Macaca mulatta: one gene and its partners. The main gene of each other region encodes a partner of the protein of the gene in region 2 in a complex. Links are inferred from orthologs where the notes say so. Each region holds a gene or a part of one and is shown on either strand. Other genes may lie near its edges.

Region 1 (7,358 bases), on a different chromosome or scaffold from region 2:
GGGTGGCGGGGCAGGGCCTGGTCCTTGGCAATACTGGGCATGCAGGGCCTGGAGCTTGGACTGCCCATCAGGCAGCACCCCCAGGCCACCGTGGCTATGGCCGTGGTGATGGTGGTGGTGGTGGTGGTGCGTGGAAGAAGCAGATGAAGAGGAGGCAGAGGCCTGGCCTGTTGGCGGTGGTGGCATCTGGAAGGGCCCCTTGCCCCGCTTGCTTCCAAATAGGGAGCCCAGGAAGGATGAGGAGTTGGAGACGGGCCTCTGGCTCTTGTACTCCTCTGGCGGCGGGGGTGGGGGCGGAGGTGGCATCCTCTGGTGAGGGCGTGGACTGCTAATAACAGACCCCTGGAAGGGGGGAGGGGGGAAGTCAGGCCAGGCTAGATGCCCTAAACCCCCAGCCCTAAATTCCACCCCTGTCCCTGAGGGCTGGAGCTGGGGACATAGCGAACCCCAAGTTGTAATAAAAACCAAATCACAGTCCTGTACTCATATGTGGAGCTCCCCAGCTTGCAAAGCTCGGCTGTCACATCCACTATCTCATCTGAGCCTCAGCTGGGAGAGGAGAAATTAGCAGTACCTCCTCCTCATCCCCATTTTGCAGGCAGGGAAAAGGTTAGGCCCAGAGAGGCAGAGTGACTCGCCCAGGGTCAAAGAGCAGGACTTGGAGGTAAGAGCTTCTCGTGGCCCAACTCCAAGGGCATCCCTACTCGCCGTCGGCCCTGGGGTTGAGAGGGGGCACGGGAGAGTGGAAGACAGGCTGAGAGACAGGCAGAATGAGGACAGACAGAGTTGAGGACAGATGGAGAGAGTGGTTGGCTGGGAGAGGCAGCCGCACGGTTCTCAGCAGGGAAGGGGGGAGCAACAGGTCCCCTCCTCCTCTGGGTCTCCATGGCCGGGGCAGGGCTCATGCAGAGGACGAGTGGGGCAGGAGCTGGCACTTACTTCGATGGTGCTGTCCAGCGATCCCACGCTGTTACGCCGCCCCCGCTTCCCTGCACCCACAAGCAAGGAGCCCAGCGTCAGAGCAGCAACCCCCCCTCCCTACCCTGCTGGGCTCCAGAGCTGGGCACCAGGCCTGGGCCCCTCCCGGGGACAGACACCCCATTATCCCTTTCCCCCATTGAAGAGGGGGAGGTGGGGAGGAGGAGAGGTGGAGAAGGAGGAGAGAGAGGAGGAAAAGATGGAGAAGGAGGAGTGGAGGTATAGGAGAGACAGAAGAGGGAGAAGAGGAGGAGAGGTGGAGCAGCAAGAGAGAGGCACCAAGACTGTGGCCCCACTTCACATGCCCTGGCCCAAACGCTGGGCTCCCCCTGCTCTGACCTGGCTCCCAGGCCCCCTGTGGCGCAGCGCCCAGGACTCTGGGTGAAGGCAGGGTGCGTGTGTGTGTGGCAGGTGGAGGGAAGGCTGGTGGCCAGTGACAGGAGGCAAAGAGGACACCTGGTCCCGTGTCTCCCCAGCCAGGGCAGGGGCCCAGAGGGCTTACCTGCATCAGAGAGGTCTCGCAGGGAACTGCTGAGTGCGCCCCGTTTGAGCCCATCGCCTGCCCCGTAAGTGTCCTCCAGGCTACTGCGGGCCATCGTCCCATTCACTGAGTCCTTGGCCCCTCCAGGCTGTGAGGCGTTAGGCCGCATCATACCTTTCTGCTTCTCCAGCTCCGCTGGGTGGCAGTCGGGGAGACAGGGAGCAAAGGTCAGGAACAGGAGTGAGAGCCCATCTGACTGACCCTAGCCCTCCGTCCTCCTTCCTCCTCCCTCCTCCCTCCCTCTGTCCCCAGGCTTCCTGTTTTGCCCCTTGGACGACCAGCCCTTGTCTCCCCCAAAACTGCAGCTCCATCACCGAAGTACCCTTAGTGCCCAGCTCCCGTCTTGCACCCTCCCTTCCTGCTCAGCCTTCCCTTCATCCCTCTTGGTGCCTGCTCTCCCTGTTCCATTTCCCTTCCCTTCACTCTTATGACTTCTCCCCTCCCATGCCCTCTTGCAGTCAGGTCTCTCAAAGCACCCCTGCCCTTCAAAAAAGAGCTTCATGGCAGATGGTTCACAGTAAGGACGGGAAGGCCCTTCTAGCCTATGGCAAAGGGCAATCTTTCCAGAGTCCAGTCAGTTCTCAGATACCTTGCTCCAGAGCAGAGGGGCTCCTGGAAGGGCAGGAGCAGGAAACTGACAGGAATCAAATCCTCTATTAAGTGCCAGGCAGTATGCTGGGTGCTACACATACTTGATCTCTCTCAATCCTCACAACAGTTCTGAGGTCAGTATTAGCATCCACATTGTGCAGAGGAGGAAACTGAGAATCCGAGAAGTCTTAGAGCTTGCCCAGGGTCATACAGCTGGAAATGGCGGAGCCGACATCCAGAGCTGGGGTGCTTCCGGCCTCCTTACAGCCCCACCTCCCCACAGAGCTCACAGAAACATGTGTCTACTGGCCTCCCCTCGTCTTGGGCTGCTAATCCCTCTCTCGGGATTTTCCCAGGGTCTCAAAGGATCTGGTGAACTGAAACTTCTATCCCTGCCTCGCTGAGGAGTAGAGTGGCCCTGGAGCTGTGAAGGCCTCACCAAGGAGCTGTCCGCCGCCTCGTCTCTCTTTTTCTGTCTGCCTGCCTCTTTCTCCTTAACACCATGTTACTTAACTGTGACTGCTTAGCCTGGAGAAGAGAAAACTTGGAGGGCATCGGGAGGAATGAGATGTAATCACTATTTTCCATTATATATATATGATCAAAATGACTTGGTGTGGCCCCTGGAGAGGATAGGCCACTGGGACTCAGCTCAGGAATTGATATGTGGGCAGAGGAGGAGAGAGAGTGGGACAGGGAATACAGACTTTTTGAATGCCTAAGATGTGTTGGGACATTTCGGCTACCTTGTCTCATTTCATCTCCTTGACTCCGTGAAGGAGACTTCATTACCCCAAATTCGTGTAGGAAGAAACTGGGGCTAGGCGGGTTAGGCAATTAGCTCCAGTTCACCCAGATAACGAATAGCATACCTGGGACCTAAAACTACAGTCCTACCTCTAATACTCTGATTCTTCTCCCTGATACCTTTCACTAGAAGGAATAGTTGGCTCATAATTAGAGTTTGGGATAATAATGGGGCTGGGAGGTAATGAGCCCCTTGTCACTGAAGGTATTCAAGCAGAGGCTGAAGAATTCTTGAAATGAGCATGGGAAGGTTGGACAAGCTAACCCTCAACTCTGAGATTCTCAGAGGATAGGATTCTTGGTTTCTGCAGGGTACTGTTTCAGGAGATGGGGGAGGAGACGTGGCTGGGCTACTCACACTCCACACGGTATTTCTCCATCTCCTGCACCTCCGCAATGGATTCGCGCAGGTCGGATGTAAAGCGCAGCCGGTCCTGGAGGCTGGGGGCATTGAAGATGATGAGGACTTTTCGCTCCCCACCAGGTACTGCAGACAGCAACTTGATCCCAAACTGGTAATCTGTGGAGAAAGGGGAGACTGGGCACCTCTGTTGGGATTGGTGGAGGTGGCTCATACCTAAAATAATTTTTCTTTTCTGTTCTTTTTTTCCTGAGATAACATCTCTCTGTCACCCAGGCTGGAGTGCACTGGTGTCATTATGGCTCACTGCGGCCTTGAACTCCTGGGCTCAAGTGATCCTTCTGCCTCAAGCCTCCTGAGTAGCTGGGACCATGGGCACGCACCATATGTGCAGATAATTTTTTTATTTTCAGTAGAGATGGGGTCTTACTATATTGCCCAGGTTGGTCACGAATTCCTGGGCTCAAGCGATCCTCCTGCCTTGGCCTCCCAAAGTGCTGGGATTACAGGTGTGAGCCGCCATACCTAGCCCATGAAATAATTTTTCTGCTGTCTAACTCTGATCATGCCTCTTCTCCATTTGAGCATATTTAGCAGCTCCCCTTTGCCCCAAAGCCCTCAAACTCCTGGTAGCTGTGGCCCCCTTACTTCCTGTACTGCAGGATGTAAAGGCATACAACTCTGCACTGCTGTCTTGAAACTCTTTCCTTCTCACCTCTACCTCAACTCACATTGCTACTGCTGCCCAGAGTACCATGAAACAAAGCTCCTCCTGGTTCATCCTTTAGAGCACAGCGTGATCACCATCTCTTTGGCCCACCAGAGAACACATGCACTGGGGTTCTCTGCAAGACTATGAGCTAACCAGGGGCTAGACCCGAGTCATACTCCACCCTGGCCTGCCCCTCATCCTGGGACCAAGTAGGTGCTTCGGAGACCCTTAGCCTGGTTGTAAGGGACTCCGAAAACTGGAGCTGGTAGAGATGACGGGTGAGCATGGGGGCCATGACATAGACTCTTGGGAGCTGGGATCCAAGAAGGGACTCACATGAATTCTGGAAGAGCTGCATGTGCATTTCCACGAGGGGGAAAGACTGACGGAAACTGTACGTCACCAAGATCTTCTTCTTCTGGAAAATTTTGGTGACCTTTGGCAGGGGTGGGAAAAAGACAAGAGGCAGCGTTTTGGGTGGGGAATTTCCACGTGGCACCTATTTCTGGTAACCACCCTCCCCTCCCACCCCATTAACAGACATACACACACAAATACACATGCCCACAAGCTGGGGAGAATGGAAGCTTGAGGGACAGAATGGGAGACATGGAAGAAAACGCAAGTTCCTGATGTAATGACCACGCACCACAGACATTTACCACATTTCCAGGAACTAACTGAATCCTGCTCCCTCCAGGAAGCCTGCTCCAACATCCCACAGAGATTTGTAAACCCCTTTTCTGAGCTCCAGAATGATGATTCAGTACCTTTCCCTTGTCAGGCGCTATGCTAGTCCTCTGAGTGTGTGATCACCCCCTGCTGGACTGGAAGGCAGGAGTCTGGTTGTCGGGTTCTGTCACCGGGCCTCACCAGAGCCTGCACTTAATGGCAATCTCTGCTGAACCCATGTAGAGAGTTAACAAGTCTTCCTCTCAACAACCCAACGTCTTTGTCGAGTACTTGGGCACTCTGGACTCAACTAACACAGGTTGCAAACACCTCAGGCGGTCTGCAAGTGGCTCATAAAAGGAAATGTTTTGATTTCAGGATGGCATGATGACGCAAAGCACTTTTTTAGGTCCTTTGGGCTGTGAGCTCCCTGAGAACAGGGACTAATTCTGATTCATCCTGGCATACCCAGTGCCTGGCATACAGCTGGACGCACACCAGTTTCAGTACCTGAGGGATGTCTACACATTGACTGTGTGGGCCAGGTACTCCTTGGGGTAAGGCAGATTCCACATATAACCTCTTCTTTCATTTCATCCTCATAACAACCCTGTGAGGTAGGGGTTAGCTCCATTTCACAGAGGAGGAAACTAAGGCTCAGAGGGAGCATGAAAATACTTCCGCTAAAGCAGCAATCCTCAACTGGGGGTGATATTGCCCCCAGAGGACATGGAGCAATATCTGGAGACATTTTTGGTCGAAGGGTTGCTACTAGCACCTAATAGGTAGAGACCAGGGTGCTGCTAAACATCCTACAGTGCACAGGACGGTCCCTGCAAAGAATTATCCAGCCTCAAATATCAACAGTGATGAGACTGAGAAACCCTGCTCTAAAGGAGAGACCACCGTGGGAACAGGATCACTGTCCTCCAAACCCTGGCGAGTTGTCTTGGAGCAGAAGGACAACACTTGTTCTTTGTGATGCCAAAGGTTAAGTGCAGATGGTTGGAAGAAACCCACAGGGAGACAGATTCTAGCAGTCAGAGCTGCCTAACAAGGCAACTGGCTGCCTTAGAGGAAGGCGGCTTTCTGTCCCCACAGTCATACATCCAGTGGGCCATCTAGGAAGCTGGACTCTGAAAGTCCCTTCCAACCAGCAAAGTCCTAAGAGTCCCATCCCTAAAAGACAAACATCTCTATTTGTAATGAGCTCAGTTTTAAGAATCACTTCAAGCATCTTTTTTTTTTTTTTTCTTTTTTTTAGACAGAGTTTCACTTGTCGCCCAGGCTGGAGTGCAATGGAGAGATCTCAGCTCACTGCAACTTCCGCCTCCTGGGTTCAAGCGATTCTCCTGCCTCAGCCTCCCCAGTGGCTGGGACTACAGGCACGAACCACTATGCCCAGCTAATTTTTTATATTTTTAGTAGAGACGAGGTTTCTCCATGTTGGCCAGGCTGGTCTCGAACTCCTGACCTCAGGTGATCCACCCGCCTCGGCCTCCTAAAGCGTTGGGATTACAGGCATGAGCCACCGTGCCTGGCCCAAGCATCTTTTTCAAATTTTGTTTTTATTATTTGTGTATTTATTTATTTATTTATTTAATTTTTTGAGACAGGATCTGGCTCTGTTGCCCAGGTTGGAATGCAGTGGTACAATCACAGCACACTGCAACCCCTGCCTCCCGGGCTCAAGTGATCCTCCTGACTCAGCCTCCCAAGTAGCTGGGACTACACACAACAGGTACACACCACCATGCCTGGCTAATTTTCGTATTTTTTGTGGAGACAGGGTTTCGACATGTTGCCCAAGCTGGTCTCAAAACTCCTGGGCTCAAGTGATTCAAACTGCCTTGGCCTCCCAAAGCTCTGGGACTGTAGGCGTGAGCCATGGTGCCCGGCCCACTACAAGCATCTTGATTACTGAAGATTTCTAGACTGACCTGGGGGTCACAGGTTCACCCCTCTTCACACAACCCTATGGGCTACTGAGGTGGACAAGGGTATTTCCTACCACTTCCCAGGTTGTAAGTCTGTCATCCCTTTGGTCCTCATATATTCTGTCCCTGTGCGTCTGTTACTATCTCCAAATGAATCTGCGAGGAAAAGGAGGGGCAGAGAAGGCCTGGGCCTTGCCTGAGGCCATGCGGATGGCATGGCAGAACACCTCGCCTGCGACACTCCACACACCACACCACACACCAACATCAACATGGCTCACACCAGACTCAGGTGTCAACCTCACTATCCCCCTTCCATCTCCTCCCCCACAGTGCTCATACCACAAGGAGATCATTGAAGAGGAAGACCTCTCGCTGATGCAACCCTAGCCTCTGGGGGCGGTTTGGATCTGGCACCTCGTAGAGCTGGCAGCAGCAAACCAGTCGACGGTGAGGGAGAGACAGGACCTAGACAGGCATGGAGAAACAGGTGTCAGCAAGGCCAGCCCGCAGCTTCAGGCCTCCTGGCACCTTAAGTTTCAACCGCAAAAAAGTTTACCTCTCATACATGTGTATCACTCTGACACAAGGGGTATCAGCGACTAAGGCCTAAACTTTTCTTCTACCTTGCCTTTGTCCCTCTGTCTGGAATATCTTTCTTGTCCAGCTCTGCATGGTCATATTTCAACTCCCCTTCAAATTTCCATCCCAGCCAGGCATGATGGCTCACGCCTGTAATCCCAGCACTTTGGGAGGCCG
Region 2 (8,027 bases):
TTAGTCTGAACATTCATTTGACTGTAAAAATGTGGAAAAATGGGGTTGAAGATGCTGAAGGCAAAAAAGTGTGGCAGCTCAGTGATGTCAGACACCACAAGAGGGATGCATGTTCAAAATCTGTTTTCTAAACCTGCCCCCAGGTCCTCAGCTGGTGAGTAGGTATACATTTTTTTTTTTTTTTTTTTTTTAAGAGCTAAGATTCTTGCTCTGTTACTCAAGCTGGAGTGCAGTGATATGATCACAGCTCACTGCAACCTTGACCTCCTAGGCTCAAGTGATCCACTCTCCTGCCTCAGCCTCCCAAGTAGATTGCACTACACAGGTGTGAGCCACAGTGCCTGGTTAATACAAATATTTTAAGGAATATGTCACCACCAAAACTGCCAGATGTATTCATAGTATTTTAAATATAAATCAATAAATTTGATTAGTGAGTGAGCAACTGCATTCCCATCTACAGAAGGTACGAAGCACAGGCACATCTAACCGCCTGCATTCCCAATCCTCAGGATAAGTCTAGATGATATCTAGCAATAGTCCTCTTGACCATTTATACCTAAATCAAACCTATAAAATACTTAAAAGTTTCCCGTATAGTGTATATGGTACTGCAAAAATAACTTGCTGTGTGACACAAATGGAAAGATGTCTCATATCTAGCCATGCTACCACTGGAAGTCCTTTGGAAATGAATCTTTCTAGCTTGCTGGCATCCCTTCAGGGAGTAAAAACTATTTTAATACATTCTGCCTAGAAGATTTTCAAAACACACTATTTTGAGGACACAGGAAAACCCAAACTCAGTTTCTCACACACTCTTATAACACAGGTCGCTTCTCACACCACATGAGCAGGGGTTTCTCCACACATGCCAAGTAAGCAACCAGTTCTGCGTTCTGCAGCAGACACCGGATAGGTGTCCTTTAATTCAGTTCAATCCTGACACTGTCCACCTGGAGGCAATCACAAGCTCCAGGTTATTTTACCTGTGCTTCTGGACAACCATCTATAAATCAGGGTTCCCATAACTCCTTCCCCTTGGGTTCAATTAATTTGCTAGAGTGGCTCACAGAACTCAGAAAAACACTAAAGTTTACTGGTTTTTCATAAAGGATATTACAAAGGATACAGATGGAGAGATGCATAGGGTGGGGTATGAGGGAAGAGACACGGAGCTACCTTGCCCTCCTGGGCGTGCCACCCTCCAGGAACCTCCATGAATTCAGCTTTCTGGAAGCTCTCTGAAAGCCCAGGCAGGCCTTTTGGGTATTTCCCATCAACAAGGAATTTCATGCTATTTCAGAATTGTACTTAAGTGTGGTTCAGTCTGAACATTCCTTTGTACAAATGTGGAAACACGGGGCTGTAGATGCTGTTAACTACTGAAGGCAAAAGTGTGGCTTCATGATATTAGTGTGATTGATTAAATTATTGGCTACTGGTGACCAGCTCAATCTTCAGTCCCTCTCCACTCTGGGGAAATTGGAGGGTGGGGCTGAAACCCTCTAATCCTACCTTGGCCCCGTGACTAGCCCTACCCTGAAGTTTCGTAGGGGCTGCCCGTCACTGGTCAACTCATTAGGGTACAAAAAGACATCATCACTTTGGAGATTCCAAGTATTTTAGTAGTTGTATGGCAGGAAATGGGAGGCAGGCCAGATATGTATTTTGCAATCCACAACTACAGACTTCTAACTTCCTGAAATGTTCATGGACTGAATCAAGTCTCCCGTTCACTTCATGCTGTACACTAACAGTGAGCCCTGGGCCTCCGGGGTGTGGGAGAACGTCTGCCTTCTAAACAGAATCATTCTCAATTGCTGTGCCTGTGAAAATCTGCCTTTTATGCTTTCCCTGTCTCTTCTCTTGATGTCATTTAGGCTTTTCCTGTTATCAGGGCCTGTAAGAAGCACCACCTTTCCCAGTCTGTTGGCTGACAACCGGCTGCAAGCCCTTGTTACCACTGTGTGAGAACCAGGAAACCAGGATTAGTCAAGGACATTATGGCTAATCAGCCAGCCTTACTGTCTTCTCATCCCTGTAGATGGTTGAGTGACAGGACCCTGGGGGAGGACCTGAGAGCCTCTTGGGAACAAAAAACATCCAGGACATGTCTGTCAAGTTGCTAACAAGGTCATCTGACCCACCTGAGAATGTGAAACTACCTTCCAAGACGGTGCTGGGCACCTGCACAGCTGTAAGGTGATAAGTGCAACTATGCCTTAAAGAGTTTATAACAACCACAGGAAAATACGAACCTGAGGATGAAGGCAAATCCTGGAATCCCAACATGAAGGGGCTAAACCTTTTCCAAAAGACCACTTCAGATGCTACAGGCAGGATACCCCTACCAACCAACCACACCAATGAGGAGCAGGCACAACACAGAAAACACAAGTTCTCATAATTTAAGATCCCCACTGCAAGGCCTTTTCCTGTTTCTCTCCCAATTACCTCTGACAGTGCACTCTACTTCCTTTCACCCTCTTGAGTTTACCGAGGTGAAAGGTCAGGGGGAGAGGACAGAATGCCTATGAGAGACAGTATGGGCCTGCCAGCCCAGGCTGGCTGCAGCCTCTTGCTCAAGAGAATGGTCACAGCTCAGGAAGAAGTGTGTACAAAAGCTTGGTGAGCATGGCCTGTGAGTAAGAGCTGGTTTAAATACACCAATGAGACATTTAATTTGAAGAATCTAGAAAAAACTGCTTCAACTCTCTGAAACCACAGTCATATACTTTGCGTGTGAACTTGCACAACAGGTTTTTTTCTCTTAGTTAGGTCTACTTCTATGATCACTGCAGCAGCTGACAGTCCATATTAAATTTTACTGAAGTGAAAAATGAAAGGCCAAATGCATCTTCGAAGCTATAGTTTCAAGCCTGTCCAGTCTGTAGGGGCAGATGAGCAGGTGAAGATGTCTGAATGTCCTCTCCATATTGTGCAAGAGGTACAGCGCATAGCTAGACTACATGATGTACAAAATCAGAACTGTGAGGGGCACAGAACCAGTTTTTGCTTTTCACTCACAGTCATTCTGTGACTCAGCTGTTGTCCAAACCAACTGTTTCAAATCTTTTTCAACTAGCAAATCTGAAAAACTGCCTGACAGGCAACAGCATATTCCTACTGCTGCAATGATTTGGATTTATTTTCAACAAGATACACCTAAAGACAAGTGACAGATATTCTCCGGTCTACCAACATGTGAAAACGTGGACAACACACCTCTAACAATGTGGCCAATCAGATGTGTATACTAACATTTATACTACTCAATTCTTCTCAATTTTGGACCCAGCTAATAGTACGGCATTTCAGGACCTTATGGTTCTGGCTACCTTGGTAGTGCTGGTGAAAATTCAAATTAAATGAGGACATCATCCATGCAGTCACACGTGTTAGACAATGGCTAACGCAAAAGCAGAGGGCCACAGGGGCCGCACACAACCGCACCTCGGCATCTCACACTCCTCCCAACACACTGCGGAAAACGCCAGAACCACCAGCCTTGCAACAACCGGCGGCAGAGAAAACTGCTGACCACTAGTTCTGAAACAAGAAATACAACTGCCCACTCCAATAGGGGCAGTGGCACCAACTCTACAGCTCTAAACTAGGCGGCGACTTCGGGGACCATCCAAAGACTCCGACCTCCCTTCTTTTTCTGCCCGCGATTCCGAGCGCATTTCTGCTCAATTCCTGCAAAGCAGCAACTGGCTGCCTGGACGGAAAGGGAGTCCGCCAGGAAGTGCCGTCGGAATGGTTATCTAACACTCTAGGTGCGCACGGCTGTACAGACCCAATCTCACAAGCCGTAACCACCCAGGCTGTGCCCCGAGAGAGCGCTGGGGCCGGCCTCTGCGGCCTAGAGTCTACGAGCAGGTCGTTCCGCAGGCAAGTTAAAGATTCACCAGCTCAAAAGAGGCCTTCTTATCTACTGCCGACAACGTCAAGGAAACCACCCTGGAGTTAAAGCGAACATCGACCGGCCCTCTGGAAGCCACCGGAGACTTCATACTGACCCCAAATCGCGTCTCACTGTTGTGAAGGGAGGCACTCTGGGCTTCCCCGGAGGTCCACGCATTCCGTTCAGCAGACAGGGAAAGGCGCAGGGTCCCTGTCCACTGCCCGCCCGCTCGCTCTCACCGCCCCTGACCCAGTGCCTTCCTCAGAAGAAACACGAACTGGATGGAGTCGGGAGGCGAAGGTGCAAGCCCCCACCACCTACGTGACCTTGACGGTGTCTTGGGGCCGCCTGAGCCTCAGTTTCCCGGTCCCCGAGGCAGCGGTCCGCCCGGATGCCGCTCGCTAGCCTGTACTCGGGTGGAGGAGGCCCCACAACCCCCACCGGCCCCCGAGACCGCTAACCCCAACCCTCCACGCGCGGGCGGCCTCGGGAAACGTGAGGGGCAGAGGTGAGGGAAGCAGGAAGCCCAGGTTTCCTGGAGAAGAGCCTGGCGTCCCGGCTGACTTCCGGGCGACGGGCGGGGGCAGGGACTGGCAGAGGAGGACAAGGGGCCGCGGGCGACTCCGGGAACCTGTGAGGGGCGCGAGGAGCTCACCGACCCGCCCGCCCTCCCAGCCCCGACTCCCCAGCCTCAGCCCGGCCCGTCCTCGTCCGCCCCCGGCCCGGCCCTGTCGCCGCCGCCGCCGCCGGGATCGAGGTGCCCTTCGCGAACCTCAAGTCGCCCCGAGGCCAGTCCCCAGACCCCGCCGGCTCCAACTTGTGTGCGGCCCACACCGACCCGCGCCCCTCGCCCTCACCTCAGAAGCTGCTGCTTCGAGCCAGGCGTTGGTTTCGCTCCCACAAGATGGCGGCTCTGACGGCGGCCACGTCAGCGCCTGCGGGCGCGGGGAACGTCGGGTAAGAGGCGGAGACGCCGGGAGCTCCGCCCCCCGTGCGCCCGCGACGCAGGCGCGCTGGCTCCAGAAGGGCTGCAGGGGGCGGGGCCGGGGACACCCAGCCCCGGGCCGAGGTCCTAGCTCGCGCGCGCCTTAGGGGTGCGCACCCGTCTGCGCCTGCGCCTGTGAGTCTTCCGAAAAGACACCTTGTGGCTGCCACACGCCCGTTTGGCAGATTCGGAGACTGAGGCCCGGGGGGCTGCTGCAGCAACTGGAGCGGCGGGGCCGGGTTGCCACCCTCCTCCTCCCCGACCCGGCAGTCACCGCGAGCCCTCGGGGACCGCGTGAGGACTGGGGTGCGAGGCGCCCCTTCGCTGGGATTGGGGTCCCTGGCTCCCAGGCTGCGCGGGTCCGTGTGCCCCGGCCCTGTGGAAACCTGTGGCACTCGCGGGGCCTCGGCGGAAGGTCCGAAGGAGGGAGGCCTGCTATGTCCCCGCACTGGCCTCGGCGCCCCGGCGGCCGCAGTGACTCGCGCGGGCTCATGCCTGGGCTCATGCCGGGGAGTTGGCTACAGATGAAGCAAAGGAGGAGGTGGCCTGGGGACCCCGGGGGGAGGCCGGGGCTGTGGGGGTGGTGCCCAGAAGGGAGGTCACAGCGGTCTCTAATGAGCTGGCCTTTCAGCTGAGATCCAGTTGAGGCGGAGGAGACCCCGCTCCCAGGAAGCCCTCCTGGATTGGTCAGAAGGGAACAGAGGCCTGGCTCTGCCCACCACCCTCAGGTCTTCTTGCCTCTTCCCTTGTGCAGCTGTGAGGGATTGGGCTTGTGGGAGAGCGTCCGTGCAGCACAGTTCTCTGGGTATTCTGGAGGTCGGGAATCAACCTGATTTGTCCAGGGGGAGGCCCGGGGGCAGGGCCTGAGGGGTGGGGTCACTGGGCCTGGCCCAGGCCTCCTGCGCCCCTTTGCTGCCGCCATCACCTACCTTGCTTGCCCCTTGGGCAGGGCATCCTCACTGCCACTGCAGGCTGCGATAGTCGGAGTTCTCCCCCAGGGCTGCACCTGCGGGGGCTTCGAAGGACCCCAGAAGTGGTGACCCTCCTGCCCCCAAATTCAGTCCCTTTTTCTGCCTGGGGCTCCCCTCTGAAATCTCACCTCTGTGAAGCTGCGGCAGGTTGTCTGTTTAGGGGAAGGATGTCTCCCTCCCACCCTACAGGCATCTCAGATACTCTTGGAAAGCCCCAGGGAGGGGTGTGGATGCCTGTGGAGCCTTCTGATTGTGCTGCCTCTCCCGCTCAGCCAGAACTGGACCATGCTCGGACATTTCATGGGGGATACATGTGGTTATGGCCACTTTAGGGCTGAAGGGACCTGGCTTTGGTTCTCTGATGGCAGAGCATGGCCAGGGGTGGCTCCAGTGTCACTGAGTGGGGATTGTGTGGGAACCAGAGCCTGCTTCCCCTTCCTTTAAAATACTCTATTTTTTTTTTTCTTTTTTTGAGATGGAATCTTGCTCTGTCGCCCATACTGGAGTGCAGTGACACAATCTTGGCTCACTGCAATCTCCGCCTCCTGGGTTCAAGCAATTCTGCTGCCTCAGCCTCCCAAGTAGCTGGGATTGCAGGCGCCTGCCCCTACGCCCAACTAATTTTTGTATTTTTAGTGGAGACAGGGTTTCACCATGTTGGCCATGGCTGGTCTCGAACTCCTGATCTCAGGTGATCCACCCGCCTTGGCCTCCCAAAGTGCTGGGATTACAGGTGTGAGCCCCCGTGCCTGGCCCCTTTAAAATATTTTATTTTAAATGTGAAAAAATGCAGACAGGAAAGAGTGTATGTCAGATACATGCACAGTTTAAAAAGTAATAAAATGGATTTCTGTATACACAGCCCTAGGGTTAAGAAATGTACCTTCCCCAGCCTGGGCAACATGATGAGACCCCATCTCTACAAAAATTTTACAAAGATAGCCAGGTATGGTGACACACACCTGTAGTTCCAGCTACTTGGGAGGCTGAGGTGGGAGGATCGCTTGGGCCCAGAAGTTCAAGGTTACAGTGACCTAGGACTCTGCCACTGCACTCCAGCCTGGGTGGCAGAGTGAGACCCTGTCTGCAAATAATAATAATTTTTTAAAAAGTCCCTTTCCGCTGATTCTGTGCTCCTGGTTTGGCCTCCCCACCACCACCAGGACAAAAGTGATGTCTTCAAGCCAGACAGGCGCAGGGGAGCCCAGGTAGTCACACCCAGATTTCTGCCCCTGGAAGGAGACCCACTAGGGAGCTAAGAAGTGTCAGGCAGTGATTTCCTGGGGAAATTGAGGCCCTGGTGCTCTCCCAACACTGCCTAGGGAGTAGGGATCCCTTTCTCTCTACTCTGAGGTCCCTGGGATCAGATGAGGTTTAGCCAAGAGGGGTGGGATGAGCTGGCTAGAGGGAGGGCATTGGGGGCCAGGCTGGACAGGGACCCTCCAGCCTTTGTGGCTGCCTCCGCTGTCAGTCTCAAAGATGCCAGCTCAGGTGGGGCTGGGCTTCTCTCTTCTGGGGGTGGCTGCACCTGAGAACCAGGTCAGAGACACGGATGCCAAACAACGGAACGGGCTGGCCTCCTAGGGAATGCGGCTAGAGGGACAGATGAGCTGTCTGGAGCAAAGAAGCGGGAATACCCATGTTGGAGACCTAGTAGGCAGCCATTGTGGCTAGGTGAAGGGGACCCCAGCCCACCTCAGGCCTGGCAGGCACTTTGGTCAACCTCTGAGTGCAGGACTATGAAGTGTGCGGCATTTGAGCCAGGTCACAGATGTTCAGAGAGGTCTCACATGTACCTGATGTCACCCAGCTAGGATGAAACCCCTCTGAAGCTTGACTACTCCATGCCCAAGTCTGCTTATTGCCAACACCTTTAGTCTTTCCCCAGCCCTGCCCTCCCTCTTGGGGAACAAGCGCTTTGGTGCCTCTGCAGACTGCAATGTTATCTTGGATTCCTCCAGTGATGGGCAGCTCACTACTACACCAGGCATCCCAGGACAGAGTTCTCCTCTCTGGATTTCCTGCCCCACTCTGTCTCCCACATGGTTGCTCTGCCGGCTCTCTCTGTTGGGAGACTATAGATGGGCTAAAGCTGGAGAATCATACTGCAAGATGCCAGGGCATTCTGCGGGGTGGCACTGCCTCCACCAGAATCAGTACT
Region 3 (7,358 bases), on a different chromosome or scaffold from region 2:
CTATGGATACATACTTGCCAAAAACAAATATGGAGAATTTCCAAATAAGAATTTTATATAATACTAGTTCACTGATAGAGACATGCATATCTGCCAACTAAAACTAAGAAAAATAAGAGGTAGTAATAAGATTAAAACATTTGAGATAGAATACTAACAGACCATAAGCTCAAGGCAAGGAGAGGCAAGCATTGAGGCTGAAATATACTGAAGCCCAGTGATAGGACTTCTAAATCATTACAGTGAGCATGCATCTTATCCCATAAGTTTATAAGGAGAAAAGGTGAGTGAGAAGCATGATAAAACTTTGTCTGAGGCCGGGCGCGGTGGCTCAAGCCTGTAATCCCAGCACTTTGGGAGGCCGAGACGGGCGGATCACGAGGTCAGGAGATCAAGACCATCCTGGCTAACACAGTGAAACCCCGTCTCTACTAAAAAATACAAAAAACTAGCCGGGCGCGGTGGCGGGCGCCTGTAGTCCCACCTACTCGGGAGGCTGAGGCAGGAGAATGGCGGGAACCCGGGAGGCGGAGCTTGCAGTGAGCTGAGATCCGGCCACTGCACTTCAGCCTGGGCGGCAGAGCGAGACTCCGTCTCAAAAAAAAAAAAAAAAAAAAAACAACTTTGTCTGACAGTTAACACAGGAAAAAAAGTTTTCACTTTTTACAAACACATATATTTATTATTAAGCATTATAATTATCTGGACAAACTTTTTAATTCTTTCAAATTTCAGCTTAAGTCTTCCTTCTCAAAGCAGTATTTCACTACCACACCCATCTCATTACATCTTTACTTTCTGGTAACAAAATATGATAGGTCCCTGTCCTATCAAAGACATTGCTAGTGTACCTTTGTATATACATATGTATCAAGTGCTAATATCTTATTCAGTTATAGATTGCCTTTAATTATGGCATGTCTTTGATTTTCTTCCGCAAATACATGATATGCTATTCATAAGTAAGTGCCACATCCTCTACTGTTTTCATACATCTAAATACACCTAGCATGATACTGTGAATACAACATCAGAAACAGAAGAGAGTCTCAAAAAGCTTGAGGAATAAATGACAGCCGAAAATAATACCAAATTGTTGTAGATAATTCTATTTGGACAGTAAATTTTCCACAGAGATCACGGCATTGTGCAATATTGCATAACATTTCTAAAATATCACACAGATATGGTATAGCACTATATTTCAAATCACTACACTTTTTTAAATTACTTAATAAAATAGCTCTGGAAAAGAATTAGACAAGGAAGGGAGCAGCAGGAACAACAATAGAAGGGAAAACAAATATAAGTGAGTTGAGAGGATCACACGCTTAAGATTCTACCGTAAACAGGAAAAACAAAATCTCAATTTTCTAATAATACAAGCATATGTGTACATGAGATAGACTATACAGATGAGAATTCAAATTCTGATTATTCTTAAGTTGTAAAATCTATAAATTATCACAGGCTCTAACAGCCTCACAAATAAAAACCTGCATAGCATCTCTACAGCCAAAACAAAATTAAAGATGTGTAAGGAACGTTTGCAGCCGGGAAAATACCATCATACGGTCACTGGATTTACTTAGTATAAGAATGGGCTAGCTAAAAGAGCTACTAAAATAAGCCTCTGTGGTCTACAACATTCCATGTAACATTAGAGATCCTTTGTATATTGTTAACAATGCACCTACCTGTATAATTTTTGTATTGCATGGGCTGCATTCTTCCTAACATATGGTGATAAGTCAGCAGAAGCTTCCTTAATAGCAAGCATCATGATAGGTACAATAATTGGCACTCTAATACTTGACAGAACTCTCAAAGCACTTGCACGAATTAGTTGGTTTGGGTCCTAAAAACAGTGCAAAAATATTCACCAAATTTTCAACTTTACAATATTTCAAAGACATCTTTAAGATGTAGTTAATAGGTGCTTAAAGGGTGTTATAGAACAATAGCAAAAGAAAGCTACTTAATTTAAAATGAACAACTAGTATATGGGAAGGGGAAAAAGAGACAGAAATAAATAAATGTTTACTTCTTTAATAATGTTTTAAATAAAAGTAATAGTTATAATTCTCGTTGGTCATTTATTACTAAATATGCTGGGTTTTTATACTTAAATAATAATAAAATGCTGCAGGTCATCAATTTCATGTTTAAAAATGTCTGATAACCCCCTTCGCACACTTTCAAAAACTAGTATAATGATAAACAGTTCTTTGAAGCATGAAAATAATTATATTGAATATAAACAAACATACAGAAGCTGCAACATATACAGCAAGGTTTCAGTTGGTTGTATAAATTATTTTCTAAGTGTATTGAGTAGGCACTATAGGAGGCCTTTAACTCTTTCAAGACACTACTGTGCTATTTAGTGGATTATTGCTCCACTTCTTTAAATGACACACTTTCAACTCTGCAGAAACCTTGTAGCTATTTGCCTACCCACTCCATTATTTACCTTCAGAGCTCGCTGAAAAGTGCTTATGGACAGGAGGGCAAGATCCTGCTGTTCTTCAGCATATCGAACCAGGTAAACATATACCAACTTCTTGATCTGTTAAAAAACAATCATTTATTTGTAGCCAGAGTGAAAATTTAAAACTCAGTATTTGCTATACCAAAATCCATGCTCAGTTTTTCTCACGTAAATAACTGAATCTGGTCACATCTTAGATTGTAAAATAAAAATAATATTTTGTGGGATAATAAGTAGCAACAGAAAAAGTCTTTAAAGTAATCATTTTAACAGTCCAGTCCACAATAGCAATAGCCTATAAAAGTGCCCCTTCCTCTTGAAGGGAATAAAAAATCCCTCAGCAGATCTCCTATAAGAATATTAACTAGGCCGGGTGCGGTGGCTCAAGCCTGTAATCCCAGCACTTTGGGAGGCCGAGACGGGCGGATCACGAGGTCAGGAGATCGAGACCATCCTGGCTAACACGGTGAAACCCCGTCTCTACTAAAAAATACAAAAAACTAGCCAGGTGAGGTGGCGGGCGCCTGTAGTCCCAGCTGCTCGGGAGGCTGAGGCAGGAGAATGGTGTAAACCCGGGAGGCGGAGCTTGCAGTGAGCTGAGATCTGGCCACTGCACCCCCAGCCTGGGCGACAGAGCGAGATTCCGTCTCAAAAAAAAAAAAAAAGAATATTAACTAAATTGTATAAATATTTTCAAAATGAGGGATGAAAATAAAAGAAAGAAGCTAGGCATGGTGTGCACGCTTGTAGTCCCAGCTATGCAGGAGGCCGAGGCAGGAGGATCACTTGAGCCCAGGACTTAGAGGCCATCCTGGGCAACATAGAGAGACCCTAGCTCTTTAAAAAATAATAAGAAAGAATTTAGGCCCCGACCACTAACTATATGTTACGGGAACTTGTTTCCTCATCTGTTAAAAGAGTCCAGAGCCCTAACTCTGATTTTTATGTTAATACTCACATTTCAACATGCATTACATGATATTTTCAGTCCAGTAAGAATAATGTGTGACTATTAATACCAATTTAACGTAATAAAAATTCAGAAATATTGGATGTGTTCTGAAAACAGTTTTTTGGTTTTTTTTTTTTTCTGAGACACTGTCTTGCTTTGTCGCACAGGGTACAGTGCAATAGCACAATCACGGCTCACTGCAGCCTGAACCTCCTGGCCTCATGCCATCCTCCCACCTCAGCCTCTCCAGTAACTGGAACTACAGGGTTGCATCACCACACCCAGATTTTTTTTTAGTATTTTATAGAGACAGGGTCTCCCTGTGTTGCCTACCCAGGCTGGTCTCGAACTCCTGGGTTTAACTGGTCCTCCCACCTCAGCCTCTCAAAGCACAGGGGTTACAGGCATGAGCCATTGTGCCCAGTCTTGAAAACAATTTTTACAGGCAATTTAATCACTGAGTTTACACAAAATTATGAACAGAAAAAAACAAAAACTAGAATTTGAGTTGAAATGTATCCATTGTTTCCTTCTAGCACTATTTATAACCTGTATCTACCTTCTCAAATATCTTCACATCCCTGATTATCCTTCAAAGATACCAGCATAGTATATACCTAAAAGGTATGTACTTAGCCAGGCACAGTGGCTCACGCCTGTAATCCCAGCACTTTGGGACGCTGAGGCAGGCAGACTGCCTGAGTCCAGGACTTCAAGACCAGCCTGGGCAACATGGTGAAATCCCATCTCTAGTTAAAAAAAAAAAAAAATTAGCCAGGCATGGTGGCATGTGCCTGTAGTCCCAGATACTTGGGAGGCTGAGATGGAAGAGTCACCTGAGCCCGGGAGGTCAAAGCTACAGTGAGGCAGGATTGTGCCACTGCACTCCAGCCTGGGCGACTAGACAGAGACTCTGTCTCAAAAATTTTAAAAATTAAAAAAAAAAATTTTTTTTTTAATTTATATACTCAAAGAACACAGGAAATGAGGAAAAAAGTTGGCGATCGCTGGAATTGGTGCTGGAAATATAAAAACAGTACTATACTGGATCGTATTTCGAGTCATACTGATCAATCTGGACTACTTTAGAGACAACTGTCATGACCTTCCTTCCTTGTACCCTAATTTCTCATGAAACATAACAGCTTTAAGTTCCTCTGCCATCCTGTTTGCTCCTTCCTAAACTCACTCCAATTTTTTTCAGCGTGGCACTATAAACTGCAAATAAAGTCTAAACAGAGCGAACTAGACAAGAACTTGCTCCAGATGAGGTACTTCCACCGATACAACTAATTCTTCATTAAAACCATACACCTTTTCCAAATGTACTGCTGACCAAATCAAAATCAAACTATCCTCATGGAATTTTTTAAAAATTCCTTTAAATGAAAGGCAAAATCTTCCATTTATCTAAAGAAATTGTCAACGATTTAGATTCAACGCATCTTGGCACCCTGTTAAGATAATTTGATATGATAATTTCATAATCCAACCTATTTCTCAATTCATAAGTACAAATGAAAACTTAATGAGAAAACAAACTTTGTACATCTTCATCGTTGATAAAAATGTTAAACACAACCATTTTAAGTTTATATCAATCCATTCATCTATACTATATGGACTGAGTTATAAAGGAAATGAAAATCTTTTTGCCAATTACTCTTCAATGTTGAATGGCTCCACAAAACCTTAAAACAAAATCTAAAGCTCTTAACCTAGTACTCAATACAGTTTATAATCTGTTCGAAACCTCCTTTTATAGTCAAACAGAAACAGCCCCAAATATAACTTGCACTTTTCTCTCAATCTCCACTCAGGTTATCCTAAGTTATCCCGCGTCCCCAGGTTCCACTTACTAAAATCTTCCACGAGAGCAAAAATTAAACAATAAAGAGTCCTAGTAGACGAACAGTAAACAAATGACAGTTCATCCATGTAACACTATACTATTCATCCACTATACAAAATTAAATAAATCTGTAGGACATTGAAAATATGTCCTTGTGGCCAGGCACGGTGGATCACACCTGTAATCCCAGCACTTTGGGAGGCTGAGATGTGTGGATCACCTGAGGTCAGGAGTTGGAGGCCAGCATGGCCAACATGGTGAAACCCCATCTCTACTAAAAATACAAAAAACTTAGCTGGGCATACTGGCCCATGCCTGTAATCCCAGCTACTCGGAAGGCCGAGGCAGGAGAATCATTGGAACCCGGGAGGCGGAGGTTGCAGCAAGCCAAGATCACGCCACTGCACCCCAGCCTGGGTGACAAAGCAAGGCACCATCTGAAAAAAAGAAAAGGAAAGAAAGGAAAATACATCCTTGAAAAAGGCTTTTTTTTTTTTTAAAGACAGAGTCTCGCTCTGTCACCAAGGCTGGAGTACAGTGGCGCAATCTCAGGGCTCACCGCAACCTCCGCCTCCCAGGTTCAAGCAATTCGCAATTCTCCTGCCTCAGCTTCCCGAGTAGCTGGGATTACAGGCACGCACCAACACGCCCAGCTAACTTTTGTATTCTTAGTAGAGATGGGGTTTCAACAATTTGGCCAGGCTGGTCTTGAACTCCTGACCTCAGGTGATCCACCTGCCTCAGCCTCCCAAAGTGCTGGGATTATAGGTGTGAGCCACCGCACCTGGCCTAAAATTTTTTAAAGGTGTAAAACAGTATGCATTGTATGATCTCACTTCTGTATTAAAAAAAATAGATGCCCACATACTGTATTTTATGCAGTCTAAGATAGACCACCAGTTGTAAAACATACCATTATGTTATGGGCCACAAAGGAAAGAACAACAACAAACGAACAGAAAACACCACCTATCGTAATCACCACCAGTTGTTAAGTTAAATCCCAACTGCAGAAACTTTAAAATAGCAAACATATGTCTTAGAATGGACATAATATAGTAATAATAGCAAATCCTTATATGTAGCATTAACTACATGTCAGACACTGTTCTAAATGTCTTACTTAAATTAACTCATTTTATCCTCACAACTCAACAAACAAGTATTTATTCTTACTTTACAGATAAGAAAATGAAACACAGACAGGGTAAGCAAGTTGACCAAAGTACTGTATCTATTAAATAGAAGAGCTAAGATTCAAGCCAAGTAAGCACAAAATTCAGAAATCTATACAATAAAATGTTAATAGTCACTATCTCTGTGCGATGGTATTAACCAGTGACTTTCACTCTTTACATCTTTCCATACTATGTTAAAAGGAATATTAATTACTTTGGGTTCAGATAAAATAATATAGGTATTTCACAACAGGGGTGAATCTCATCTTTCCAGATGGCCTTCAAAACAAAATAATAGTGCTGTGATTCTTATAATACTTTAAATTCTTTAATTATAAAAAAATTTCAAATTGGTAATATTTTTAAGTTCCCACATTCCTCAGAGAGACGCATTTTTCTGTAGCCTTGGCAACATGTAGCCACAACTGTTTTAAACCTGTTCAACAGAGCAATAAAAAGGCACCTGAATGAACAAGTTTTCTCAAGTCAACCAATCTGTGACAGCCTCTTGCTTGTGAAAGTTAGCCAGTCAGGAACAACTGCACTCCCATACACCCACCTCTGAGTGCCAATCAATCAAGAGCAGTCTCACCCACATGACCACACATCTACAGATGATATCAAACCACTTAGGACCCTGAAAGTCCATGAATCCCTGAAGACTGTCCTTCCCAATAATCCACAATAATATCAGCCATCTCTATGTCCAGAGAAACTGTGCCTAAAAAGCATAGTTGTCCCTTGCTATAGTAAGCAATAGTCTTGTTTCAGATATCATCCTTCAAAACAACCTACTGAAAAGTTCCAAGACTAGTTCACTGAGGCCTCATATAGCCTTCATTTATGTTTTATTCTGTCTTTTTTTTTTTTTCAGACAGAGTCTTG
Region 4 (7,358 bases), on a different chromosome or scaffold from region 2:
CCACCGCGCCTGACCTGGCCAATGTCTTTAACCCCCTAGGCAGGGTGTGGAAATGCGTGAGGAATGAACAATTCCAGGTGGCCACAGCACTGTTAGGAAGATGTGGATACCTACCAACTGATTCTGAAGGGAGAGGGCACCCACACCTTAGAACTCTCCCATGACTGAGGCAGTGGGGAAAGTCCTGCCTGGGGCAGAAAAACTCCTCCTCCAGGTAGCCTGGCCTGATGACTCCTGACTAGGAGATCCCCTCCCCTCTCCTTTCCAGCACGCTCTGCTGGATACACTCATCTGACCCTTCAGGAAGACAAAGCAGGGATAACACTGGTAAGACAAACACATGGCTGGGCACCGTGGCTCACACCTGTAATCCCAGCACTTTGGGAGGCCGAGGCAGGTGGATCACCTGAGGTCAGGAGTTCAAGACCAGCCTGGCCAACAGGGTGAAACCTCGTCTCTACTAAAAATACAAAAACTTAGCCAGGCATGGTGGCGGGCACCTGTAATCCCAGTTACTCGGGAGGCTGAGGCAGGAGAATCACTTGAACCCCGGAGGCAGAGGTTGCAGTGAGCTGAGATTGCACCATGGCACTCCTGCCTGGGTGACAAGAGCAAAACTCTGTCTTGAAAAAATATAAATAAATATATATATATATATATGATGAACTCACAAGCCTAGTGCCAGCTCCAGGCTTTCTTTTCCTGGCAGCTCTGCAGTGCCTGGCAAAGGCTGGCACGCACAGGGTTACAGGAGTCTTTGCTGTTCTCTGTCCCTTAGTCCTGCTTTGTGTGCCTGTGATATTGGGCTTCTGGCCTCATGCCTTGGTGCAGCCAATCCAGGTAGTAAGTCAACCGCACATGCTGTACGCTATGCCACGATCCTACGTTCCCTTGGCCCTGCTGGTCCTGACACCCCACGCATGAAGGCAGGGGCACAGGTTGTTCTCACACTCTGTGGGGCCACCATCATGTAGGGGTCTGGAGCAGAGGCTTTAGTGTCACTTGCTTTCACTTCCAGACTCTGTCACCAGCTATGTGACCTTAGGCAAAAGCACTTGGATTTCTCAACCACGAAATAGGAGGAAGAGCCACAAAGGGCTGCTGGGAGGAGGACGTGCTGGCAGTGGCTGTGGAATGCTGTGCCATCCCTGCAAGGAAGTGTGTGGCTACTAGTGTCAGAGCTGCTATCTGCTGTGGACCTCTCAGTGCCCAGACCCTGCCAGGGCCTCCAGTCACCACCACTGCAGGTGCAGCTGGCATATGGTGGGGAAAGCCAGCTCAGGGGGTAGGGAGGTGGGGGCTCATGGCTCCCTAGTCATGACAGAGCTGTCACTGCCCCGACCCCCAACTGTATCCTGTTTTGGGGCGGAGACCTCAGAAGAGAGAGGGGGGCTCTGGCAAACACAACTTCTGAGTGTGGTGAGGGGATCAGGCCAGGTTGGTCCCCTCTGGCAACTTCCTTGACACTGACAACATGGCCCACCCTGAGCTCTCCTCAGTGCCAGCCCGCATGTTCTCACACCCTGAACTCAGCTCTCCTTCCCTCAGCCCCGCTCCTCCCTCCCAGGGAGCTCTCAAGTCTGGCCACTGCTTCCACCCACAAGAGCCCTCGTGGTCCAGCTGCCACAGCACTCCTCCTCCCTGCTGCAGAATCCCCTGGGGCCGGTGCTTCTGCCCCACCCCTTCCCTGCACACGCAGCCATCTTTCTCAAGTGCAAATCAGACTGGTTCATATCTTTGCTTAAACCTTTCCAAAGCCTCCGGCTGTGCCAGGATCAAGAAGAAACGCTCAGCCTGGCCCACCAGCCTTGCCAGCTTCTTCCTTTGCTGATCCCTAGTCTAGCCAGGAGTCTTGGGGGTGTGCCCTAGGTGGCACAGTGGGCATCTTCAGGTGGCATAACATAGTGGGCTGGAGTCAGGGATGCTGGACGTCCTACCATGGGGACAACCACCCCACAACAAGCAACTGTCCTGCATCCTTCCAGTATTTTCTGCATGGTTTCAACATATCCTGAGACTTCCAGGAACACAATTCTCAGGAAAATCAAGGGAAGCCTGTTGTTTATCTTACTCCGAACCTTAGTGGGAGTCAGCGACCACTTCAGAAACAAATGGCACCACTGGCCAAACCACTCATGGGGTCCAGGCTACAAACACCCAGACTGTGGTTGCCACAGTCACAGTGACTTTGCCCTGCAGCAAACACCTGGCAACTTCATATCTTCCGGGGTGAGTGGGCAGGCGTGCCCAGACGCTTATAACATTGATACATACACTTGTATTCTCTTCCTTTTATGTCTCCTCCATGCAGTGAAAGCATCTGAGTATTTTTGGAATGCTGTGTGTAGGTAGGTTACACAGCCCACCAATTGCATTTAAGGAGAGGAACAGTGACAATGTAAAATGTCGATGATGACTAAGGGGTGCTGGGTCTGATGGCACTGAGAACTACTGCTCCCACCTGACAGGCCTCTGCTGATTCCCTGACAGAGGCCAGGGTCTCCCTTCCCTCCAGGCCTTACCACAGGCTGTTCCCTTGGTCTGGAGCCCCTACCCGCTTCTGTTCAGCTAATGAGGTCCTGCGACTCCTCCGGAAAGCCTGCCTAGGCATCCACCAAGCCTGACTTAGCTCCTTTTCCTCGGTGCCCCCGTGGCCCCCAGCTTCCCTCATCAGCGCTGGCCTGAGCCAATTCCACAGCCGAGGCCATTTAAAGGAGCCCACATGCCAATCTCTATAACTTCTCTCTGCTCCTGCCAAGAGAGAAGACAAGTGACTTACTGCTTTGGGGGCTACATATGATCCTGACAGGGTGCCCACGCCACTGGTTAGGTCAAAGAGGTCACTCAGGCCACTGCCGATGGGTGCTCCAAGACTGGCTGGTACTGCTGCTGTTGGAGGTGCCACGAAATTGGTGCCCCCAATCTGGAAAGGGAGGGAAAGAGTCAGAGGCAGGCATCAAGAGGCAAGGACATCAAGGGCTGGGAATGAGTAGAGCCACCTGGCTCTTTAGAATACACTGGGGGTGGGGGGCAGGACAGCCTCCATATCAACTCGAAATTACAGAAACAAGACAGAGAGAGGTGGGTGGAGTAGAGAGGCTGAGCCCTCCCGTGCCCTGTAAGCCTTGAGCCTTAGAAGTAACCTCTGGGAAAGGGCTGGGGACACTCCCAAATTGACACTCAGCCCATGGATAAAAGGAGGTCCCAAGACACACGGCTGGGTGGAGACCTGCTATGCAGACGGGTGCTCTCCCTCCAGGACATTAGAGAGGGGTTGTGGGACTGAGGGCTGGCAATCCCTGGGATGACAAGGTGATGCGTCATGGGGTGGTGAGGACTGGGCAAGAATCCATGGCTATGGGGCCTAGTGGTAGCCGAATGCCAGCTGGTCAAGACAGAGACTGCCAGGACGCGGGACCAAGGCAGGGGCTCAGCCGGCGGGGGCTGCTTTGACATCACCCGCCCCTTGGGATGCTGGGCCAGCGCTTTCGGGAGGAGCAAGGATGAAGGCTGGGTGACGCAAGGGTTGAACCATACCCCTTCAGGCTCATCCCCCATCTCCAAGCAGAAGCAGGCAGGTGAAGAGAACAGGCAGCCACATGCAGAGAGAAAAAGCCAGGAAGGAAGACAGAGGAACAAGAGAGAGAAGGGAAAGAGGGAGGAGATTAGTTAACAGTAGCTCCATCTGAGAGGAGAGTGGTGTGAGGCTGTGTCGGGGCCTATGAGAGGCCCAGACCCTGTCTCTATGAAAGGCACTACCCCACACATTTACCCCAGCACCCGTTCTGCACCACAGCCCTTCCTGCCTCACCCTAGCAGCGCTAATTGCCAGTCTCCTGCCCCCATGCTGCCACCGTGCGGACCTGAGTCGAGCACAGTCAAATGAAGAGGCTCAGCCACCCCCAGCACCTGGCCCTGCCAGTTGCCTGAGGAAGCCCCAGGGAGATACCCACGTTAGTCTCACCACTCCCCTCCCTACTGTCTTCCCATTCCCCTCTCTCCCCGGCCTCCTATGCCCTCTCAAATAGGCCTGGCTGGGCTTCTGTTCCCAGCTGGGGCAGCATGAAGCTAAGTGGACACAAGTCTGATTCCTCAAAGCTAGGAACACCCTAGCCTAACAGGGCAAAGGTGACTATGATGCCAGGATCAGGGCAAGGGCTAGGATGGGCCTCCCTGCCCAGGATCTCCTGGGACTCGAAGGTCCAACAAGGGAGTGGAATCCTGTCTGCCACTCAGGGGCTGTGCGACCTTGGAGGGAAGGCTGCCTGGCCTCTCTAAACCTTGGTTTTCTCATCATAAGTAGGGAGCTACACAATCACCTCCGAGGGTAAATGGTAAGAGCTCAATATAATGTACCTGAGGCACTCAGCTGGTGCCTGGCATGGAGGGGCGTTCAGTGACTGCTCCTCTGAGGATCATTATCAACATCATCCAGAGGGCACCCATGACATACCAGGCTGTCAAGGCCACCGCCAAGAAGGTCCACAGCTCCCATCTGCACTGAGGAGGTGGTCAGGGGTGGGCCGCTCACTGGGGGGCCGAGGTCCAGGTTGAGGAGGTCACCCAGCAGGTCGCCCTGGGCGGGGATGACATCTGGCTGCTCCCCAGGAGGTGCTCCGGCAGGAGCTGTCTCAGGGCTCTCTGCGCTCTCACTCCTGCCGGGACACAGGAGAGAGAGAAGGTCAGTAGGGCGGAGGCATCAGGATGTCTCAGGAAGGTCAAAGAGACCCCAACCTCCAGGTGCCTCCCTCAGGACAGGCACTGAGTCTCCTCCCTGTCCCCAACAGCGCTGTCCACACGGCCCCACTGCTTCCCCATTCCCACAGCAGGTCCATCTTTCAGGCCCTCTGTGAGGATGAGTGAAGGGAGAGGGCCGCCTGCTTCTAGCCCTCAGCCCATGCCAAGGAGAAAACTGGAAGCCAGTGCCCTAGGATGGTGCCACCAGGTCACACCAACCACCTGGGAAAAGCAGAGGAGGAGGCACAGACAGGGCTCTGGAATGAGACAGAACCGGTCTGAGTCCCAGCTCTGCTAGTTGTGAGATCCTGGACCAGTCCCTCAAGCTCTCCTTGTCTCTTGTTCCCACCTGAAGAATGGGGACATTTGCTCTCAGAGCTGTTGTTAGGATGGAATGAGGTCATCTAGCAAATACCTCATGTATAATAAATAGCTGAGAAAAGGTTGTCAGTTTTCCTCAGACTCAGGCCTTGCCAGGGGACAACACACCAGGCCTGAGTGCCTGTGCTGCTGAACTGGGAAAGCAGGTGTGGAGGCTCAGGCCTACTGGCCAGTCTCACTCACGAGGCCGTGCGGGGTGGTAGGCTCTTGTGCACGACGCCCCGGCCCCCCTCCACAAAGGCACTGGGAGGCTTATGGTAGACAGAGGCCAGTGTGCCGATGTAGCAGATAAGCTCGTCCAGCAGTGTGGGCTCGATGAGGTCCGTCTCTTCAGAGATGAGTGGCTTCTCAGCCAACACCACCTCCTTGGCTGCCACCGGGTCCGTGGAAAGCAAGCGCCAGTAGATGTAGCCACGGTCCCGCAGGTCCGGGTTATCTGAGTCCTTGTGGGGGTGAGGAGAAGCCCGTGAAACTTAGAGCAGCCAGGTGAGAAGGGAGGAGGTTTTCCTGTAGCCATGAGCCAGGTGTGGCACAGGGCTGGCCAATGGGGACAGCACTCCCATGAGCCTGTCCCTACACCACCTACAGGGCCATACCCCGGCACCGGGCTCATTCTCCATGGTGCTCTACTCCAGCCTGGCTGTGCCTGTCTCTACTCCCAACTGGCCACTGTGGCCTGCCCTTCCTGCCCCCAACGCACACCCTCAGGCTTCCGCAGGCTCTCCTCCTCTGTCTAGTTTGTCTCAACTTCACTACTTGACCTCACTGCACTTTGTGTTCTAAGCTCCCTGAAGGCAGGGAGCTTGGGTTACTCTGGGGCTGGAAGCCAGTCCCACCCACAGGATACCTGTCTCAGGAGTGGGCCTGGCTTCCAGGTCTAGTTCCTGGGACAAAAGTTCCCCTGCTTGAGTGAGGGTTGTGCTGGGCACAGTGGGGCGGTTGGGGCACCCACCTGAGTGGCCAAACTGAGGACCTGCTGCACCAGCTCCTGGGTCTCTGTTGGCTTCTTCAGAAAGAGTTTCACAATGCCTGTCAGCAGCTGCAGCTGGACCTGCAGGGAGGGAACAGCGGTGGCGAGGAGGAAGGTGGGCCTTACATGGGGACAGCGGGAGACTAAAAAGGCTTGAAGAGGAAAAGGGTGTTCAAAGTCCCTGGAAGCCAAACACAGCTCTTCTAGGTTTGGGGCTGTCACGGCACACACGCAAAGGGCCACCACAGGTGTTGGTGCCGCTGAGCAGCCAGACTTTGGCATCACTCACTCAGGAAGGAGCTGAGCACTGGACTATTCAGCAAACCCAAGCAGGCCAGGGGCCGCTGCCCAGCCCTAGGGTTCTAGAAACCTGTTGGAGCTCTAGACTTCACAGGACTATGAGAAGCTCACGTGTGGCTGGTATGCTTCTTATTGGGACTACCTGTCAACAAGTGGCGACAGTCCCATGGAGTCCCAGGGGACTGGGGCAGCAGGGCCCACAGAGCCTGCCATCAAGAACCTGTGCTTCTACCAGAGGGTGGGAACCATTCCTGGTGGCCCTCCACTGGCCCCTGCTGCATACCTGGACATACCCAAAGCTGCCCTCATCCTGGCCAACCATCCTTACCCTTCAGATCTCATGCCAACCCCACCTTCAGACCCCCCATGCTTCTGCAGCCTCTTCCATCCCCTCACAGCACCACCAGTTGCTGGCTGTCCTGTGCAGTGAGCTCCCTGTGGGCTGGAGAGATGTCTGTCTTGCTTACTGTCGTGTCACTAATTACTGCCCAATCTAGTGCCTGGTGTAGAGCAGGCACTTAAGAAATACTTGCTGACCGAAGAAACATCTATGCGAGAACAAGTCTTTGCATATAGTCCTTCCTTAGTCACGGTCTCATTTTTGCTAGTCCTAGGACAAGGGGGCAGCCTGAGGCTCCTGGAGTCGGGGGCAGTGGGAGCCCATGGGCTGTGCCAGGGACAGGTCTGCAGCAGGAGGGCAGGAGTGGCAGTGCAGGAAGCCCAGCAGCAGCCGTGCTGGCGGCATCTCTGACGCCTGCCCAGTAGGAGTGCACTTGTGTGGGGAAGGCTGACAGCAGCAGGCGGAACAGAGGGCATGTGGTCCTCCAATTCTGGGACGAAGCGGAGTCTTTGCAATTTGGTTACATGTGGGCCAGCAGCAGAGGAGCAGTAGGCTGGCTGTTTCCGAGGCAGGAGGCAGCCCAGCATCTGGCTTCCAGACTCTAGCCCCTGCCTGGGTAGCCAATGGGAA

Evidence for each region.
Region 1: the proteins of ARF1 (region 2) and IQSEC2 are in contact, whole or in part, in a crystal structure (PDB 6FAE), measured with the Homo sapiens proteins. The link is inferred for Macaca mulatta from reciprocal best matches to the Homo sapiens genes ARF1 and IQSEC2. Residues at the interface, in NP_001019397.1 of Homo sapiens: Arg19, Gly24, Leu25, Asp26, Ala27, Lys30, Thr31, Ile46, Pro47, Thr48, Ile49, Gly50, Phe51, Asn52, Val53, Glu54, Thr55, Thr64, Trp66, Asp67, Val68, Gly69, Gly70, Gln71, Lys73, Ile74, Pro76, Leu77, Trp78, His80; in NP_001104595.1 of Homo sapiens: Arg810, Gln811, Gln841, Arg845, Val846, Gln847, Gly848, Glu849, Ala850, Gln851, Val853, Glu854, Glu858, Asp879, Phe882, Ile883, Phe886, Ala887, Ile889, Leu890, Asn892, Thr893, Asp894, Tyr896, Ser897, Pro898, Ser899, Val900, Arg904, Met906.
Region 3: the proteins of ARF1 (region 2) and AP3B1 are in contact, whole or in part, in a cryo-EM structure (PDB 9C5B), measured with the Homo sapiens proteins. The link is inferred for Macaca mulatta from reciprocal best matches to the Homo sapiens genes ARF1 and AP3B1. Residues at the interface, in NP_001019397.1 of Homo sapiens: Glu17, Arg19, Tyr35, Ile46, Pro47, Thr48, Ile49, Gly50, Phe51, Asn52, Val53, Glu54, Lys73, Ile74, Leu77, His80, Tyr81, Asn84; in NP_003655.3 of Homo sapiens: Glu52, Asn54, Pro81, Val84, Lys85, Val87, Ala88, Asp111, Leu112, Leu114, Leu115, Ile117, Ser118, Thr119, Gln121, Arg122.
Region 4: the proteins of ARF1 (region 2) and AP1B1 are in contact, whole or in part, in a cryo-EM structure (PDB 7R4H), measured with the Homo sapiens proteins. The link is inferred for Macaca mulatta from reciprocal best matches to the Homo sapiens genes ARF1 and AP1B1. Residues at the interface, in NP_001019397.1 of Homo sapiens: Glu17, Met18, Tyr35, Ile46, Thr48, Ile49, Gly50, Phe51, Asn52, Val53, Glu54, Thr64, Trp66, Lys73, Leu77, Arg79, His80, Tyr81, Gln83, Asn84; in NP_001118.3 of Homo sapiens: Asn23, Asp25, Pro52, Asp53, Val55, Asn56, Met58, Gln59, Met83, Ile85, Met86, Ala87, Val88, Asn89, Thr90, Val92, Lys93, Tyr121.

What each region holds. Positions count from the first base shown.
Region 1 is NC_133426.1:53,078,228-53,085,585, forward strand, and holds part of IQSEC2 (IQ motif and SEC7 domain-containing protein 2), read right to left. Parts: intron 7,068-7,358; coding exon 6,942-7,067; intron 4,427-6,941; coding exon 4,327-4,426; intron 3,438-4,326; coding exon 3,276-3,437; coding exon of another isoform or gene 3,268-3,275; exon of another isoform or gene 2,776-3,267; intron 1,655-2,775; coding exon 1,481-1,654; intron 990-1,480; coding exon 940-989; intron 343-939; coding exon 1-342. UniProt on the Homo sapiens protein: Is a guanine nucleotide exchange factor for the ARF GTP-binding proteins.
Region 2 is NC_133406.1:85,832,841-85,840,867, reverse strand, and holds the start of ARF1 (ADP-ribosylation factor 1), read right to left. Parts: upstream 4,809-8,027; 5' UTR 4,768-4,808; exon of another isoform or gene 4,683-4,767; intron 4,607-4,682; exon of another isoform or gene 4,088-4,606; coding exon of another isoform or gene 4,026-4,087; intron 1-4,025. UniProt on the Homo sapiens protein: Small GTPase involved in protein trafficking between different compartments. Modulates vesicle budding and uncoating within the Golgi complex. In its GTP-bound form, triggers the recruitment of coatomer proteins to the Golgi membrane.
Region 3 is NC_133411.1:84,584,104-84,591,461, forward strand, and holds part of AP3B1 (AP-3 complex subunit beta-1), read right to left. Parts: intron 2,570-7,358; coding exon 2,474-2,569; intron 1,859-2,473; coding exon 1,698-1,858; intron 1-1,697. UniProt on the Homo sapiens protein: Subunit of non-clathrin- and clathrin-associated adaptor protein complex 3 (AP-3) that plays a role in protein sorting in the late-Golgi/trans-Golgi network (TGN) and/or endosomes.
Region 4 is NC_133415.1:22,213,466-22,220,823, reverse strand, and holds part of AP1B1 (AP-1 complex subunit beta-1), read right to left. Parts: intron 6,170-7,358; coding exon 6,071-6,169; intron 5,562-6,070; coding exon 5,302-5,561; intron 4,656-5,301; coding exon 4,454-4,655; coding exon of another isoform or gene 4,427-4,453; intron 3,559-4,426; coding exon of another isoform or gene 3,538-3,558; intron 2,924-3,537; coding exon 2,780-2,923; intron 1-2,779. UniProt on the Homo sapiens protein: Subunit of clathrin-associated adaptor protein complex 1 that plays a role in protein sorting in the late-Golgi/trans-Golgi network (TGN) and/or endosomes.